Rattus norvegicus: one gene and its partner. The protein of the gene in region 1 purifies or fractionates together with the protein of each later gene. This does not show direct contact. Links are inferred from orthologs where the notes say so. Each region holds a gene or a part of one and is shown on either strand. Other genes may lie near its edges. The genes, in order: Bptf and Smarca5.

Region 1 (3,820 bases):
GATTTGGCAGAGCTCTAATGGTCTGAAGTGACTTACTGCACCCAGACACCACTCCAGGATGCCCCTGCTACACCACAACACCTTACATGGAACTACCAACAAACATCTGATTTAAGACATTTTTACAAAGGTGTGGCAAGTCAATGCAAATGAATTGTCTGCCCACAATTTGCTTAGTCGATAGGCAAATGAAGGACTGACACTTGCAAATCAAATGACTTCAAGTGAATAGCTACACTGTGGTGGGAGCCTTAGCACTCAGTTTTCTACCAGGGAAATGTGGTTTCTCATAAGCACTGATGCCACATGTCCAACAAGAAGTCCCAGGCCAGGCCCGGCAAGCAGTGTTTCTGCTCTTCCAAGGTCACCCACCAGTGACTGTGTATCATTACGGAAGCCTAACACAACCAAACCACTAAGTCTACTGCACAGCACAGTAATTCACGCTACTGAACATGCTGCTTTGACTTAATGACTTTACCTGTTTCTGAATGATTTCACTTTGGTTAGAAGCTTGGAGGGTGTGCTCACGCTCCATTTCTATCTGCTGCTTCTTCTTCTGCTGCTGATCCCTGAGTTGCTGAACCCTTTGCAACTGCTCTCGCACACTGGCTGCCTGCACTGTGAGCACACTCTGAGCGTGCTGGGCCTGCGCAGCACTGTTCTGCTGAACGTGAACGGGCAACTGCAGTTTGATCTGCTGGGGCGCACCACCTTGCTGAGCCTGTATCTGAGCCACAACCTGCGACTGGATCTGAGAGAGAACCTGGACTTGCTGGAGCTGAGGCACAGCGATGACTTGGGGCTGTGGCTGCTGTGTTTGTGGCTGAGGACGGGATGGGGATGGAACAGTAACCTGATTTAATGTCTGTCCTGATGAAAGAGTTTGAGTTGAAGACTGTACCTGGGGCTGTGACTGTGGCTGGCCTTGGGAAGGTGCCTGCAGAGATGTGGGGGGCGGAATTGGAATCGGCTGTGAGGCTGTAGTCTGAACCTGGGGTTGCTGTCCAGGAGTCACTTGGGATGGAGTTGATGGACGTATTCGAGTCAGTGGTGGGCTCTGGACACGAACTGGAGACTGTCCTTGTACACTGCTCTGAGGCTGACACTGTGTTGCAACCAGGGGTTTAGATGACTGTGCTTGGGAGGGCTGTGTTTCAGAAGGGACATGGGACGAGGCAGCTGGCTGGGTCTGGACTTCAGGCTGAGCTGGGGGCTGGGGCTGGGGCTGGGGCTGTGCTGCAGGCTGAGCAGGCTGTGGCTGGGCTTCTGCAGGACTCACACTTGATGACTGAGTTGGTGCCAGGGTTGTGGCTGGTTGTACCTGGGTCTGGGGAGATAATTTACTCTGTTTTTGTTCACCTGAGCCTGTAAAAAAGAAAGACAAAATGGTTTCTGGATGTGAGACTGGGAGACTATGGTGAAAGAAGACTCTGAAGGGAATTTCCTCAACTGAGGAGCTGGGACGTCCCTGATGTCCTCTGTGTGTGTCAGCTGGGCGCTCAGGAGCACCTGTCAAGGGTCACTCTTCCGCTAGGACATGGAAACGAGCACTGAGAGCTTGGAGAAGGCTTACAAAGAGGTCTGGGCCTGCAGCTCTCAAGCACCGTTCTCTCTAAGGAGCCCTCATCTTCATGGCTCCACCAAGGCTGGAGCAGGAGAGCAGGCACAGGGACCACGGCATCCGTTACTCTGTTCCTCCCGCCTTTCTATTATTTTTGCTTTGTGTTGATTGGGAAGTGAGTCTAGGAATAAGGCATGAAGCACAGAGGCTGACCACATGGCTGTTATGCTGGCTGGAGGCCGCATACCCGGCCCTGTGTGAACCCAGCATCAAGTGCAGAGCCAGCATGTCTACCTGTAGCTGTTGCATTAGTGCTGCTGCTGCTGCTGCTGCTGCTGACGGCCGTGACTGGTGTTGACAGTGGGGTAAAGAGGAAACGCTGAACGGTGCCATTCGGCATCGCGGCCTGCATGAGCTGCTGCCCTGGCCCTGGGAGGACCGTCATCCCCTGAGGTATCAGCTGCAACTGTCCAGTAGTCTGACCTTGTCCTTGAATCACTACTGTCAAACCTTGGTTGCCGCCCTGTGGGAAAAGCAGACAACACGGAACATGCAGTGTTCAAATCACAAATCACAAAGCTGAATGAAATCATTTATGTTACATCCTCACCGCGAGAACCCCAGGGGCAAAACTCACTCCTACTTTCACGTCTGGATATAGGTTAGAGCCATCATGTTCAGGTCAAAACTCTAATTTCAATCAATTGACTAAATTTTAGGAGTTTGGGTCTCACTGGTATCCCAGGATAACCTGGAACGCACCGTTGACTTAAGCCATTACTCCTGATTCTTACTTTAAGCCACTTTTATTTATTAATGTTATTTTATACTTTTCAAACATCTTTACATGTAGTCTCACTCCAGTCTCACACAGATTCAGTGCTTAGCAGAGCAAATCTTACCCTATGCCCTAATCACTCGTTCTCAATGACTCAGAAGCAGCAAGGTGTGCATACATGTAAAGGTAGCCTGACCCAACATATTAACACCCGCCTCAAAAAAACCAAGGGCTGGGACAGTGTCTCTGCAGCCGAGAGCCAACCTGCAATTCTCATGGCCCTAAACCCAACTCTCGGAGCCACAGAAAGAAAAAATCCCCTAGCTTAAAGGTGCTGAAAACTGAGCAGGTGTTCTGGGGTCTGCGTTTGTTCCCGTGCAGTATGAACACGTCAAATGTCCTATGCACTGTTAAGTGTTCCAAACGGCTGAATCCAGGTCTTTTCTCTGGGAAGGCATGCTACTGCCCAGTTGTGTTTCTTCACGGATCAGAAACAGAATGTGAGAACACAAGAGTCAGGGGAACTAGAAACCAGGGTTCTACATGTACAGACTGTTTAAAGCCTAGTGCTCAAGCACAGGGTTAGGAAGGAGACAGCTCTCCATGCTAGGAAGGCTGCACTTGGCTCCATAACCTCTGCCTTCCTTCCTATAGCATTCTGTGGGTGACCAAAACTCCACAAATGCCAGGTTTAAGTAACTGTTACAAGCAGCGTGGTGATGACTATGCTGTACCCAAGAATGGGATGTGCTCTGCTGAAGTTCTTTTCCCAGAGGACATGGCTGTCCTCACGGTTTAAACATTGTATCTCTTAAGAATATTACTTCCTAGATCACTGAGCCTCCCACAACAGAAGCAACATCCATGGGCTAGAGAGTTAGCTCAGTGTTAGAGCACTTATTCTTGTGAGGACCCAAGTTCAATTCCCAGCACCTACACAGTGGCTCACAACTGCTTGAAACTCCAGTCACGGACAATTCCATGTCCCTTCCATCAGCAACAGGCATGCACATACATGCAAGCGAAACACTACCACATATGAAATAATAAACCTTAGAAAGAAGCAACATTCATTTAAAATCAATGGGAACGGCCCCTTTGGGTAAAATGAAGCAGGTCCCCTATAGGGGGGTGGGGATGGCGGCATGCCTTTGTTTTGCCAGTTTCTGAAGCCTATACACACACAACCAAATTGTATATTCTTGTTTTAAAATCCCAACTGCAGGGTTTGAGAGATGGCTCAGTAGTTCAGTGCACTGGCTGATCTTCCAGAGGTCCTGAGTTCAATTCCCAGCACCTATATGATAGTTTACAACCATCTATAATGGGATCTGATGTCCTCTTCTAGTGTATCTGAAGATAGCAAGTGTAATCATATACATAAAATAAAACAAAAACGGGGGGGGGGGGGGAGGATGGGGAGGGGAACACCGATAAAGAAGGGGAGGGGGGAGGGGATGTTTGCCCGGAAACCGGGA
Region 2 (3,820 bases), on another chromosome or scaffold:
ATCCCTCCACACTTGAAGGCCATCTCTGAATGTTAAAACACAATGTATAAAATATACAAAGATACTTGAAAACGCTTAAAAACAAGACTTTAACCTAGAGACCCTAAGGTTAAAATTAAATAGTCTTGATTGCCAAAAAGAAGAATTTGCTAACTCAGATGAAGAAACTGATTGGAAATGACTTTAAAGCCAAGGCTAAGCCAAGACTCAAAAGTGAATGAATTTTCAGAATACTATGCTGGTTTAGTAATAGGCTAGCTACATATGTATGAAAAAGTTAATAGCCATATCAAACAGCACTATTATTAAAATATAGGCATTAACCAAAATATTATTAACCACAAAAAGAGCTTACATCAGCTGAATTAAACACATCTGGTAACAAAAAGTTTAGCAGGGACCAGAGCTCGTGCAGGTTGTTCTGAAGAGGCGTCCCTGTCAGCAACAGTCGGTTTGTAGTCTTGAATTCTCTCACTATTTCTGACAACTGAAAGAACCAGAGCCCATTATTAGAACATTTTGAATCACTCAGACACAAAAAAATGTTCATATTAAGTATCAAATTACCTTAGATTTTTCATTTTTTATCCTGTGAGCTTCATCTATAACTAAGTATCTCCAGTTAAATTTTTTGAACACAGACTTCTCTTTAATAAGCATTTCATAAGATGTGACACATACATCCCACTCTCCTGGTAATAGAACATCCCTGACAAATGCAGCCTATAAAGAAAAAAAAAATTACACCACTCAAGTCAATTATACATTAAATTCACTTAAGTAATCAAAACCAAGGAAGGAAGGAGTCTAATAAACAGCAGGCATTAAATGAACATCAAAGCCACCATCTCACCACCATCTCACCACTGAAACTACTTCCTTATCACCACAGAGTCAGTTTAACTTAGTTTCAAAAGGTTGAAGGGAATCACAAAATTCCATGGCCTAACTTTAAACTATCTTTCTACAGTTCACCAGGTCTTGCCATCCTTAGGAAGCAGGGTTTGTAAGATAAAGGAAGACTGACAGTTGGCAATAGATGGTCTCATTCTTTTGATTTGTAGATATATTAACACATTACTGTTATTGTTCTTATTTTATAGATAAGGATATGAAGTTAAAACGCAGAAGTAGCTGACTTCTTCAAACAAAAAAGCAACTTGGTAACTTAAAATAACCCACATAATCTACCTACTGAGGGGCAAAGAACTCTAGACAGTTCCTGGAGGATGACTCGGGGGTTAAGAACACTTGTTCTTAGAGAAGACTAAGGTTCAGTTTTCAGCACCCACACAGTGGCTCAAAACCATCCCTAACTCTAGTTCCAGAGGTGTTGACTCCCTTTTCTGGCTTCAGTGGAAACCAACATGCATGCAAAGTACCCATAAATATAAAATAATATTTAAAAAAACTAACCTCAACTAATTAAGTGTAAAATCATTTAATATAATCATTTAATCAATGAACACACTTGATTATATCCAACTTCCAAATCTAAGTTCTTTATTCTTAATAGTGTTGTTATTGCCATGACTTTGCCCTAAAAAGATGTGGCCCGGAAGTCAATAATTTAACTCATATTTGTATATAACAGCTCACCAAATTACTAAATTGACTCAACTCATATTTAACAATTACTATTCTATGACTATTACCACTGTACCCTAATCTAGAAATCTGGCCCCTCAAATTTCTAATGGTTTAACATATTCAAAAAAAACAAGTTAATATTTCCAAATAAATTATCTAGGACTTTATACAATGACTTCCAAGGGGAGAAACAAACTGAAAATAAAATTAAGAAATTCATTTAGCTTTTTAGTCTTTAAAGCGTTCTCAGTAAGATTCTTGAATAACCACAAGTAGTGTATAGTCATAAATTACTAACAATCCTTTTTAATCCCTTCTCCAGTTATTTCATCTTAAGTCTAAATTTAAATTCCATTAAATATTAATAGTATAAATACTTACTCTTTGCTCTTTATCTCCTATCAAGCAAACAGACCTAAGTGTTGGCACCCATCTCTTGAATTCACTCATCCAGTTGTGCAATGTAGACTTGGGAACCAAAACCATATGAGGACCAGGAATATTTCTATAGTGTTTCATGTACCCAAGAAGAGAAATTGTTTGCAGAGTCTTTCCCAAACCCTAAAAAATTCATAATTCAACATTAAAGAATTTAATTGCACTAGTCAAATTAAAAATTAAACAATTAAAAACACCCTTCCACACTTATAGACCCATCATATTTAGGAACATTTAGAACTATGACGAGATTGACTACTGTGTAAGTGTACAGTTACGTCACATAAGTCTATAAGGAAGGTATCAACATCACCTCAAGACTCAGAAAACGCGACATCCCCAAGTAACCAATCAGAGGCAGGAGCGAGATATATCTGACTGCATACTTACCCCAACCAATTGTTTAAGCACTACTTTTGGAAGGATTAAAGTCTTCACTAAATAACTAGTAAGTCATGAACAGAAGATACGGTGTTCTGTGAAACTAAACCCTGTGAGCTGACTTTTAATAAATGGAAAGAAACAGTCAAATACTGCAAAAACAAGAAAGTTATCAAAATGCATTATTTTAAAATTTACTCTAGTGCAGAGATGGTTAACTCTTCACACGTGAAGACGTCACTTACGCAACTAAAACAGTGGATTATAGTGCTTTAAGGAAAAAATAGTTATAATCAAGCCAAACTATCCATCTCTCTTCTGCTACAGATTTAGTCAAACTATCTTAAGTTACAACAACAAGAACACAAACATCTTCAAGCTTTGAGATTAGCAAATACATACCATCTCATCTGCAAGGATACCATTGATGCCATTCTCATACAGAGAGATGAGCCAATTCAATCCTCGGACCTGATAATCTCTCAGTTTACCCCATTTTACATCTAAAAAGTAACAACACACAATGCTCATTTTAAGGACAAGAAATATAAGATAGGGCTGTCTTTTATCTGATATTCAGAGGTTTAACTGGAACCTATAGGTGTCTACTTCTCCTTTCTAGAGGATACATATATTATGGGGTTTCTGCAAGGTGAAAGTCATTAAAAATAGGTAATGAAATCTGGACTGAAGAAGGGGTAATTGATACAAGTAACTGATAGTGAAGCTATCAGATGAGGAACTCTAACTACTAGCATCAGAGTAACTCATCGAAATCACTCAATCCAATGTTAAACCACATTGGTCTTCAGAGTATCTCTGGCCTCTTTCCCTCTCTTTTTTGTTAGCACACTTTTAACCGAGTGGTTTCATCTTCATAAAGATCAGATAGTAGTTCTCTGAAGATTTTCCTTTCTCCCCATTGAGAGTGGAAATAAAGACAAGAAATTCTTTCCAAGTCCACCCTTTCTATTCCTTAAGTCCGTTCTCTGATAGATGGCACATAAGGACCCATGTCCTTCAGTACACAGACATTACTTGTACTTCCCGGGATAAATCGCTGCCTAAGAATGAAAAGCTCATCAGGACTGGGCACACGAGTTACAACTGGAGACAGAAATAACCTGAATTTCCTTTCCAGCTTGTTATACATGTAGCTCTGGCCTCTAGCTTGATTTGAAAAGAAAAGGCCGGGGGAAAGGAAAGTGTGTGTTAAAAGTGGTCCAGTGGGTGAGTAAACTGTTCAATAGTCTAGCTAAGCAGGACTCCAACTAAAACCATTAGTTGTCCACAGTAATTACTCATCAAATAACAGGAGTTGCAGTAAAACTAGGCTTCCGTGAAGATTATAGAAGCTTCTAATAACCCTATCACAAATCAAGATTATTTATAAGTAAAACTAAGCTGTTTT

The links.
Region 2: the proteins of Bptf (region 1) and Smarca5 purify together in Homo sapiens (affinity purification with mass spectrometry; 4 studies listed by BioGRID and IntAct, with this or other methods). This does not show direct contact. The link is inferred for Rattus norvegicus from reciprocal best matches to the Homo sapiens genes BPTF and SMARCA5.

The regions. Positions count from the first base shown.
Region 1 is NC_086028.1:92,498,687-92,502,506, forward strand, and holds part of Bptf (bromodomain PHD finger transcription factor), read right to left. Parts: intron 2,088-3,820; coding exon 1,859-2,087; intron 1,369-1,858; coding exon 482-1,368; intron 1-481. UniProt on the Homo sapiens protein: Regulatory subunit of the ATP-dependent NURF-1 and NURF-5 ISWI chromatin remodeling complexes, which form ordered nucleosome arrays on chromatin and facilitate access to DNA during DNA-templated processes such as DNA replication, transcription, and repair.
Region 2 is NC_086037.1:44,182,769-44,186,588, reverse strand, and holds part of Smarca5 (SWI/SNF-related matrix-associated actin-dependent regulator of chromatin subfamily A member 5), read right to left. Parts: intron 2,913-3,820; coding exon 2,812-2,912; intron 2,152-2,811; coding exon 1,972-2,151; intron 724-1,971; coding exon 568-723; intron 488-567; coding exon 356-487; intron 1-355. UniProt on the Homo sapiens protein: ATPase that possesses intrinsic ATP-dependent nucleosome-remodeling activity.